2 linked regions of the Neurospora crassa OR74A genome follow. The protein of the gene in region 1 purifies or fractionates together with the protein of each later gene. This does not show direct contact. Links are inferred from orthologs where the notes say so. Each region holds a gene or a part of one and is shown in the gene's direction. Other genes may lie near its edges.

Region 1 (5,647 bases):
AAAGCTCTAGTGGTGATATGTCTTCAAGTACACGCACCAGAAATGTTTCCCAACCCTTGGGATCCGTGATACCATTGGGTGGCAGACGATCCAGGACCTGTACTGTATGTTTGGGAGCCGTCTGCTTCTGGCCTCGGGCAGCAAGCGCATAGTCTGTCTCGGGATTTTCCAAAGGAGTGGCGACAACCTCACGCTTGATTGTTGCTGCAATCGCCGTTTGTTCTGAACTCTTAAGTTAGCACCTATCAAGGCAGGCCAGTTGAGATTGGGTGTAACGAACTCGGGATGGCCTTCTTGGTGTACTGCTGTCCCTTCTTTCCGCGCTCCTGAGGTGGCTCCGACTGCTTCATCTGCTGGCGCACAAGGTGTGCAGGTATGCCCTGAGCTAGAGCCTCAGCCCGCTCCTTGTTCTTGGCGGCATAACTTGGGTGATCATGTTCACCAAAGATGAAGGTGTTGTTGACGTTGGCATCCACCATGTCGAGGTTGTATTCCTTGGGAATATCGTAGTGTTGTGGAAGATCGTCGAGGAGAATTTGTAGCTTCTGAAAGCCCAAACAGTCTCAGTAACCTATTGAAAACGTAGTGCTCGTCAGGGAGTGCTGCTACTGACCTCCGGTTGACCATCTTGCACAATTCGACGAACTTTGCCAATCTGAATCTCAGCATCATCGGGAAGCGAAGCCCATGCTTGCCAGACATACCCCGGAAGGCGAGCCAGATAAGCGTTTTTCAAGGGAAAATCATTAGGATCATAGAATCCCAAGTCGGCTGATTCGTCAAGCTCGTCTTCGGCGAAGGCTGCGTCCGGGTCAGGCTTAATTCTCATTGGATCGGCCATGATTGGAGTTGGTCGCTGTGACAAGACTAGCAAATATTAATATGTGCGTAAAATGGCCTTTCGTTCGCTGGTTGTCGGCGTCTTGTGGTAGCGTGGACGGAAAGTTGGGGCGTGATTGTCGTGGTCGTTGTTGTTGTAGAGAGGTTGCCTGGTTGAAAGCAGCCGCGAACGTCAACGTCAGGACAAAGACCGTTGAACCTTGGATACGTACCTGTATACTATTATGTAAGCCGCTACCTGATCCTAGCGCGACCCGCTCTCCCGCAAGCGGAGCGGCTAGTGGGGTCTCTGGTGGCAAGTACTTAGCTGTACCTAGGATCCTGCATACATCTTTCAGTTAAAGGTTGACTTCAGTCTGGTGAAGGCGCCTGTGGTTTTGGATTTCTCTGAGGGCAGTTCAAACTTGGAGTCTCATAGGTTGCAGTATGGCTGTCTACGGGAGCGTTCTTGTTTGTATCCGGCGTTATTTTTTTGGGCGTAAAGAAAGGAACAGAAGTGGAAGTAAGGTATGAAGAGTGCCTTGGGTCTTTTTGGAAACAAGCCGATGGTAGCTGATTAGGAGGAAATGTGAGCTCACCACGGGGCATTGAGGCTTGGTATCTTGCATAAACTGCTTTCCTCGACGTAGGTAGTGTCCATACTATCATATGTGCACAGCATAGCTTCCCAATGTTCAGGTCCTGCCTGGTTGGTCGTGCCCTGACTGGTTGACGCATTACTTACTTAACTCCATGGCCTTCTTTCTCTGATAGCGACCTTGGCCGTTTGTGATTGGCTGACCTCTGGCGCATCCCCCCTCAAAAGATCACTGGCAGTTCGCCGCCGTCCTTGAACATCCGAACCAAAATCCTTCTTGCACCCATCATCCTCTGTTTTGCGCGCCGCCACAATCATCCCAACAACAACGTTACCTTATCGCATCGAACAAACGGCACCAGCAACATCGCGACCTTTATCATATTTTCTTCAATCTAAATAACCGACAAAGACCGGTACTGCTTGATCGTGGAACGTGACCGCAATATACCGATACGCTTTTAATATTGAAATTGCAGCAACAGCTACTTGTATTGGCTCTTGGATTCGAACAAAAAGATAACAAGATGACAATGTCTGCCGAGGAACACGAGCTGATGGAGAGGATTGCCCGTGTGGCCGGTCAGATCAACCAGCACAAAAATCAACAAGCAGGCCTTGTTCCGCCGCAGAGCAGCCACGCACCACCGCATCACCGTACGTCCGTGGAGTATCATAACAGCAACCGTGCTGGTATTGACGGTCTTGAAGACTCAGGTTATTCTGGAAGCTGGCGTCATCAAAGAGGAGGCTACCCATACCCGACCCGCGCCCATTACACCAAGCCTGCCCACCGTCACAGGACCTTGGTGCTGAACGGCGCGTCTCAACAAGGTAAAGCAGGTCCGCCCAGTTCAGGCGCCGCGCTCGACTCGTCCCCGTCGTCCTGGGTAGCAAAGAACGACCGTCACCTTCAAATCATCAATTCGTCCATCTATCATAAGGAAGCGCAGGCTCGCACTCGGGCCATTGAGCAAACTCTGCGCCAGAAGCAACAGCAGAGAGATGATCTGGAACGAACCAAGTTGATCAACCATCTACACCGTGCTGGCGATCGGTCGGCAGCGGCACCAAACCAATATGAACTAACCGTGCAGGGTATACGTTTTGCCGTTACGAAGAACGGAAGCAAACTTGTCAAGATTCCCGGTGCGTCGAAACCGCGGCCAGAAGTGCTGGATGTGCCGAATACTCACCCTTTCACAGGCGATCTCAACTCAGGGCCGACCCCGAAAATGGCTATCGTAGGCGGTGTCAAGTTCTACCGCAGCAAGAACGGGAATTTGTACCGCCATGGTATTGTTAAAGCGCAGCGGTATGTGGCCCGGTCCCTTTTGAATCATCCGCTAATTCTAGTTTGCGATAGGCAATCCGGCGCTTTCAAGAAGGTCAACGTGCCTTGTCGCAATTTCTCCATGACCGGTAACTCCAACTTTTCAGATTTCGGAACCTTAACCGACACCACGTCGAAATGACTGGGTCTGGTAAGTCCAAACGATGTTTATACTGACATCCCCCGCAGGTTCATGCACCAAAGGCCCTCGGTGCCGATATATCCACGACCCAGCCAAGGTTGCCATTTGCAAGGACTTTCTCCAACAAGAAGAATGCATCAACGGTGACTCTTGCGATCTTTCGCACGAACTCTCCGCGGAACGCACCCCCACGTGCTTGCACTTCATTAAGGACAGTTGCACCAAACCTGACTGCAAATTCACTCACGCAAAGGTGTCTCCAGCTGCCTCGGTCTGCCGAGAATTTGGCCTCTACGGCTACTGCGAGAAGGGTGCAAGCTGCATCAACCGCCATGTTTTCGAATGTCCCGACTTCAGCAACACTGGCGTGTGTAATACCAAGGGCTGTAAACTGCCGCACCGGGAGAGGGCAAGCGTCTTGCGCAGGGTCAATGCCCGCGACGACGCGGAGATGGAGGATCTATCCAGCGACGACGATTCAGTCGATAGCGACGATATCGACTCGGACGACGTTGACGAGTTTGTTGGCCAGGACGACGATCCTGACTTGGATTTCGCCGAGCAAAAGGACTTCATCAAGTTTTGATTAGTGCAGTCCTGGCTCGTTTGTTTTGGTCCTTGGTTTTTCCTAAGCCTTGCTGGCTTATTGATACCCTTTGATGTTTCTGTTTTCTGTAGCGCAACCCGTTACACTTTCCGGGTTGGCAGTGGGTATAGGAGGATAATAAAAGTAAAAAAAGGAGGAAGAGAAAAGCAAAAGGAAAAAAAAGAGAGAAAAGAAGATGTCACTCTGAAGAACAGCCAAGACTAGGCAATTTATTATAGATATAGGAGTGCATGACCGCACTTGGTGCATGATTACAATGATTGGCCTGTGGTGAACGTCGACCTTGATGTGCTGCGGCAAGCTCCAAGCAGGTACCGCAAAATGTTATCCTGTTCATCCAATGGCTGCTGAGAGTTAGTCTGCCGAGAGCTCAATAGCCACACCATCACTGCCATTCCTTCTTCACTCGGGCCCGGAGTATCATAGATCAATCACCCCGCATTCGCAACCTTAACCCCATATGCTCTCCGCTAAATTATACTCGTATGAATTCACCGCTGCCTAACGAGAGTTTAGCGACGGGATGCCCTTCTCTTGGGCATCCGGATTTCTGTTTAGAAGTAACTCGCCGCTTACACTATCCAAAATCCATGTAATCACTCCTCTTATGACCCCTTAATGCCGTACACGTATATAGATCAGCACCTGCAGATGTCCCACATTCCATAATACTACTAGTCTCATGATCTTTCTATACCTAACTCCCACCTCCTCTCCCGCACTCCTGTGGATAGTCAGTAAGGGACTAAGGAGCACTGGGGTTTAGGCAACTAAAGCAGTTTTATATATATACTACGTTCTCGGATTCACAACTACAACCACTCAGATGGCGCGGATGTAATGAAACCCAGACCAAGACCCTTGCACAAAGCACTAGTCCATGACGCAGATCGAAGGCCTGCGGCCGCCGTGCGGTTCGGTTGAGCAAAGCCGTTACCGAACCGTCCTGAGTCCGACCAGGGGTATTTGATTGTGAGGGGTAGGAAGTGGTAAGTTTCGGCTCATGGTATGTTTGATGAAATGTATATATACAGAGAAAGAGAGAGGTTTGGAGGCAAATACCTTGGCTGCTGGTCTGTCTTCGACTATGAGGTTGACGATCTAATACCTACACCCTTTGACAAAACAAATACGTCGCAACAAGTATACGTCAAGAGATATCAGTGGAGATGGCTACAACTACGAACGGGCACATGGACGGAAGTGACCTCAAGAAAAAGTTTACACTTAAAGACACGGTAGTGGAAAATCTTAGACCGTTGAGGGTAGTTGTCATTGGCGCTGGGTATAGTGGTATCGGGGCAGCGATTAGGTGAGTTGCTTCCCTACCTCCCGCTTTAGGCTGATGAAATAGTTGTACCACCGGTTCAATACTGACAAACATGGGTGTGCTGTGAAGAATACCAGAGAAGCTACGAAATGTCGAGCTAGTGGTCTATGAGAAATACGAAGGCGTCGGAGGGACATGGTAAGTCCACGCTTTTCCTCATGAACTCATTTGGACCGCCAGTCATTCACCAAGCAAAGACACTGATACTGCAAGAAACAAAAAGGTGGGTGAACACATATCCAGGTATGTACGACCTGGTCGTGGTCCCCAAACAGGAGTAGGAAACCAAAGCAGATCAACTAACCGACAGCTAAAACGAACAAAAGGCGTCGCCTGCGACATCCCCTCTCATTCATACCAATTCTCCTTTGCGCCCAACCCGAACTGGTCCAACCTCTATGCGCCAGGCCACGAGATCCAGAAATATCTGCAGGACGTGGCTGAGAAATTCGGAGCGACGAGGTTCATCAAGTTATCACATAAAGTGGAGGAATGTGTCTGGGACGATGGGCAGAAGAAATGGTTCGTTATAAGTTCAGACCAGTTTCACACACGTCAAATAGAACAGACAGGCTAATAGAACGTGAACGGAAAGGCAATTCAAAGTCATGAATCTGGTTACCGGAGAGGTGTTTACCGATTCGGCGAACGTGCTGATTACGGCTCGAGGTCAGCTTAGCGAGCCGCGATGGCCGGATATTCTGGGAATTGACCAGTTTAAGGGGAAGAAGATGCATTCGGGGGCGTGGGATAAGAGGTAAGAGGTTGTCTGACTGGCCTTTCAGAGGCAGTCCTGAAAAGGTGTCGTGCTAACTGAC
Region 2 (5,675 bases), on another chromosome or scaffold:
TCTTCCCACAGGACAACGATGGAAAAGATCTACGTAGTATACTAACATCTAGACAGGAGGGAAAAAAGCAAAAAGAGAATGAGATGTTGACATTGCCAGATTCAGTTTGCTATAAAGAAAATCCAAATCCCACGGCAAAGAAGACCAGGACTAACTACTCTTCATGCTTTGCTGGATGGCCCTGGCAGCAATTGCAAAATGTTCAAAAAAAGATGGTTGTGACTCGGATACCGGGAGTCGAACCCGGGGCTGTTGAGAGAGCAGTCACTCCTAAGTAGTGAGAGTCAACGATGTTACCGCTACACCATACCCGATTTGGAATGGTTTCCGATTTTTATCGATGACCTCACAAGATTGACACACTATATAGGCCAGACTGCTGGCTCCAACGTCTATCATGTTCAAGCAACACTCCTTTTTGTCTTGGAAAACCATACACCCTGGCGCATGGGGTCAGAAGGTAGCTCAAGCCCTGGCAAGTATGGACCACCGTCAACGTTGAGACTCGCACACCGTTAGTGATTTAGTCCTGCCCGGCATCTTCACGACATGAAATACCACTCTCGAGGGGCCGGAAGTCACGTTGAAGGAGACGCTCGGTTAAAACTATTTCCAGTAGGATCTCAAGGTGGATTGTTTACGATTCAGAATCTCTTTACCTTACGAATCGCAGAACTCCATGATTCCGGAGAAGGTGTTGCGTAAGGGTATGGAAACTACAGTAAGCCATCGTCTTTCCAGATATGTGGTCAAGTTGCTTTGGCGACAGCTATCAGCCTTCCGGTGCGCAGGCATGCAAAGGGACCGAACATCTGATTTTCATTGAAAAAGAACCGCCATTCAACGGGGAACAGAAGAGCTTGATCCAGCATGTCAATCTGCCGGAGGAGAAGTTTGGAAGAAGAGGATAAGGGACAAAAAGCTCAACCGCCCAAGTCAAAGTCCGAACTGACCAGCTGCCGGCTTTGAGAATTGTACCACCAGCACCGCGCACCGGGCACTGGTTTTCTAGCCCATCGACGGCTTGACCACGGAGAGAACCTGCTTAAACCCTCTGAATCCCAATTGTATGTACCCCGAGGGGGATTCGAATTGACTGGTCATATTTGCCAGCCGCACCAGCTCCAGTTAACCCCGTTGAGTCTTAGGATATGTTCGCTCTATATCTAAGATAGCGCCGGCCATCTTGCCAGAGGCGTTCCGAAGTTGAAGATGTTCTGGTACTGAATGGCTGGAGATAGGCAACGTGAAGACAATGCCTGCCCTAACTGGTATCGCGGTTTCTGCTGCGCTCGCTGTTACAACGAGACGCACCCACTTGGGAGTAGGGACAGTAAGCTATGTTGACCCCATCAATATGCGAGTAATAGGAGAAGAGTATTCGGTCAACCCTCCCGCGCCTGATGATGTCCTCGCCCGAGGCATATTCTGACGCTGGCTTCGACAAGCGTCCACGCAACCTTGACCTGGCTTACAGCATTTCAACCAGGTGACCGGCGCTTAATGAAGATACAATTGACTTAACCGACTTCTACGTCTGGTCCTTCGTTAGTAAAGAGCTTGATGAATATTGTACCTTATGAAGCTAAGGTAGTGATGGGTATCGAGGGCTTCAATGTGGGTACGAAGATGCCGAGAGAGAATGACAATTGAGTTTCGATCCTCTGTATGTTATTACGATGGTCTTCGGAGTGTCATATCTTGCTAAAATGGTAATCGAAGGATCAAATACAATAATGGAGGGGCGATACATCAATGTGACTGTTTGAGGTAAGTGACGTTGACGGCAGTTAGTCTGGGAAGAGAACTCGGGCAGTACATGTAATGCCTGAACCAAGATGTTGACTGGCAGATAGCTACCAAACACGCATTTAAATCATCAGTTCCGAAACTCTCCCTGCCGATAATGAAAACTTGTAGCTCGCGTTGGGTCCTAAGGTAATGCCGAATCAGATAAGTAATGAAAGAAGTACTGGTTAAACTACCTGCATCTGATACAGAAAGTTCGTTGAGGATCCCAATGACCTCGCGTGAAGCCTTTCACAAGTTCTTGCGCAGTGCAAGTCCAAGTTCCTCCCAAAGTCCCAGGTCGTTATCTCCCGCTGCTCAGGGCACGAACAGGGTGGCACGTGCCCCCTATCTACTTAGGAGCCAAGCAGTGCTTGTCACTACACTCACGCCACCCTCCTTCGGCGTCACCCAGCCCAAGGTTTTGGAGAACCCCCCGATTCCAATTTCCCCATCAAAGCGCACATGGAGAAGACGTGACGGAACAGCTGCAGAAGGCCAAACGACTTTCTTTGCGTCGACCAGGGCCCCGTCTTTCAGTCCGATTGTGCCATCGTCAGCCCCATCCCACCACGCAACAAACACATTCTTTCTCGCAACAAGCTTCTCAAGGCTCTACAAAAAGGCGGTGCTGTCCCGTTCAACTAAAAGTAAGTTAAAGAGTTGGGCTTCAAGGTTCCTGGTCCAGTCCCCTCCCCATCCCTTGCTCCAGCCAGGTCCCGTCTTTTGGAAGGTCCACGGGAGCGGACCCCTCCCCACTTTTGTATTCCTTTTCCTCCACCATTGCATCGGTGACCAACAACCTGACCACCTTGGCCTCGCTCCCACAGCCCGTTGCGCCAGCCTGACCCAAACCACCACTTTTCGATCCCGCTCATTCAGGTTTCTCTCACTGACCTGCCAACTTCAGTTCCTTTACACAACCAGGAGTTGACCGTATTGCACGCGACACAATCGCGACAAGCAGCTCTTCAATCAATCATACCAGCAACATGTCGTCTGTGGTGAACGAGGGGGAGAAGCCCCAAGAGGCCGCTCAGGAGCAACAGGAGGAGCAGCAGCAGCAGCAGCAGCAGCAAGAGCAGCAAAACGCGGGAGACGATGTCAACGATGATGAGGTGCGCCAGCTCCGGCCCAAGCCCAGCGATACGATCCACCGTGTTTGCTTCCACGCGGAGTGCAGGCGCTAACACCAAGTAATCGTGAACAGGAGGAGATCTCGGCCATGAAGCGCCGTGTCGCCGAGATGGAAGAGGAGGCTGCCAAACTCCGCGAGATGCAAGCTAGTCTGGACCAACAGCATCATGAGCTCACCGAGAACAAGGAGGATATCGACAGTCGGAGCATCTTTGTCGGAAACGTCGACTATTCGGCTTCGCCTGAGGAGATCCAGGCGCACTTCCAGAGCTGCGGGTCCATCAACCGTGTCACCATTCTCCTCGACAAGTTTACCGGTCAACCCAAGGGGTACGCATCTCCTCTTCTTTCCCAGCTGATTACCCTCAAGTACATACACTGACGGTGTCATTTATCCAATAGTTACGCGTATGTCGAGTTTACCGAGCCTAGCCTGGTCGCACAAGCCCTTGTTCTCAACGAGAGTGTCTTCAAGGGCCGCAACATCAAGGTCGTCCCCAAGCGCACGAATATTCCCGGCATGTCGCGCGGCGGTCGCGGCGGTCGAGGTTCCTTCCGCGGAGGCGGTCGCGGGGGCTATTTCGGTGGACGGGGCGGTTTCCCTCCTAGGGGAGGCTACCGTGGCGGCTACCGTGGACGCGGCCGAGGAGGCTACGCTCCTTACTAGTTTTTTTTGGTGGTGGTCTGACATACGGCACATGATCCCGCATCCATCAGGACAATCAGAGCCGTATGCGGCCCCTCTCTGACATCCGCAGACACTACCTGGAATTGTGAAGATGGGCTCGATCTCATCTGAGCTGGTATCACTATCAGGCAACCCGGTGTACGTGTTGCTCATGATTCATGGGAACGTTTTTTTTTCTCCCTTTGATGGCTGTAAGATTAGGATATATCAGCAGGGAAGAGGAGGACACTTGAATGGTGGAGGAAGGGAAGGGTTCGTTGTCTTGGCCTGTTTTTGCACCATGGGAGCAATGGGATTTTCAAAGTTTTCATTTTGGCTGCGCGTATCGGCAAGGCGTCAATGGGTGGGAGGGTAAAACGAAGGAAAACGCCAATTCCATATGCTCTTTTATTTCTTCTTCGTTTATTCATGTCACGTTCAATTTTTGTATTTGATATTTGGCATAAGCGCCGCCTACTACTTTTCGGTTCGACATTTGCTACGGCTATGTCTGCTCAGGGGAATCATCAGCGAAGTTGCTTAATATGGGCTGTCTGTTACCGCTAGCCATCACCACATAATGACTAGCTTTGGCAACAATTGAAGCTATCACTTGACACTTCAATCTGCGAACATGTGCTCGAATTAGCGTAGCGATGATACTTTATTCACACCGCTATTGTTGTTCCGACACTAAAAACAAAGAAAGAGAAAAAAAAGAGTCCACGGATCGTCAGATGCCAGGTGCCGCCGCCTTCGCCGCGAACCTCCATGTCAACATTTTCCACCGAAATTGAACGACTCCAATATACAAAGGGCATGCAAATGACAACTCAACAGACACCTGCGCAAGACATCTTTGCTCCGACAAGACCGAAGGCGGTTGTGGTGAAATTCAAAGAGGCTGGTTTTTGAGGTATAGTAGAGTGAGTACTTACCTAGGTAGAAGAGCTATACGCGGATTGCGCATTACCTCTACCACTTTTTAGAAGTGTCGAACAAAGGGCGCTCCACATTTGCTGTCTCGCTTCGTTCAATGATGACAGCCACTAGTGTAGTGTACAAACCTAGTGTACATATGATGGGTACCTCTATGCTTCCATGAACTCCCCATCGTCAAAAGCACCTCAACAAAAAAAGAAACCTCAATTGAAAATCCAGAGATGCAGTAACGCCCCGCAGTTCCGTCGCACGCGAGGGGTATCAAAATGGAAATGACGGGCGTTTATGTCGGTGATGCGCTATTGTTGGAACAGCAGCGTCTCGGTCGGCGGCAACGGGGGTACACTACATGTACTGGGATACGCTAAGTAGCGACCTAACGCCTTTTTGCACCCCGTGCGGTGTATCGTCGTTATGGGATGTAGAGGTGCTGTGCGTTGAATTGTCAAGGTTGAGGTTTGAAGTGTTCACTTTCCTAATTGACTGCCTCTGGAGGTTTCTTCAAAGTTCGGTAGTGGCTTGATATCTGGTAGATCTGCGCAAGATCATCATCATCCCCGATCGTTGGGCTACCTCTTGTGTAGAGTTTTTGGAACAGACAGCTTCTACTACAATCTTGGCGTTTCCTGGAGAGACCTCGGAGCTTGGGGCGGTCGGTGGAGGTGCTTTCCTACCCCTAGTCATGGAAAGGCATTCAGGCCAGCATAGCTACCTATTCTAATTCTCTGTGTCGATGACTGAGCCGTGATCCATGGGATATTTTCCTGACAGGGCATCAACTCCTAAGAAAAGACACGGGACTATGTGATCCATGTACACCAAGGTTGCTCTTTGTGTGCCAATGATGTTGTTGATGTTGATCTCGAGATCTGGATGCCGTGCCAAGCATGGAGTGAATGTGGCCCCCTGGGAGTCTGGGACTCGAATGACCCGACCAACTGCTTAAGAGAAGAAGTCAAGTACCGCACTGTGCGCACCTTCCGCTTCAGTTCTCGCTCTTTGCAGGCTTCTGCTAACTAGTTCCTGGCCTAAAAGTAGTCACTCGTTAATGCGATACCTGAGCTACTAACTGAAAAGTTAAGCTTCTCGCACAGAGCATGCTAGGCCAGCCATACTTTCCCGTTAATGCTGTTGAACCATT

What was found. The genes of interacting proteins can lie anywhere in the genome.
Region 2: the proteins of NCU03048 (region 1) and NCU03946 purify together in Schizosaccharomyces pombe (affinity purification with mass spectrometry; 3 studies listed by BioGRID, with this or other methods). This does not show direct contact. The link is inferred for Neurospora crassa OR74A from reciprocal best matches to the Schizosaccharomyces pombe genes red5 and pab2.

Annotation. Positions count from the first base shown.
Region 1 is NC_026501.1:8,296,113-8,301,759, reverse strand, and holds NCU03048 (CCCH zinc finger protein), read left to right. Parts: upstream 1-1,676; 5' UTR 1,677-1,944; coding exon 1,945-2,566; intron 2,567-2,623; coding exon 2,624-2,732; intron 2,733-2,783; coding exon 2,784-2,839; intron 2,840-2,939; coding exon 2,940-3,478; 3' UTR 3,479-3,756; downstream 3,757-5,647. Other genes in the region: NCU03047 (hypothetical protein), read right to left, coding at 38-222, 281-545, 614-841; NCU03049 (flavin-binding monooxygenase), read left to right, coding at 4,669-4,811, 4,899-4,967, 5,053-5,072, 5,156-5,351, 5,425-5,586.
Region 2 is NC_026506.1:2,201,283-2,206,957, forward strand, and holds NCU03946 (polyadenylate-binding protein 2), read left to right. Parts: upstream 1-2,415; 5' UTR 2,416-2,780; coding exon 2,781-2,906; intron 2,907-2,998; coding exon 2,999-3,255; intron 3,256-3,327; coding exon 3,328-3,592; 3' UTR 3,593-4,468; downstream 4,469-5,675.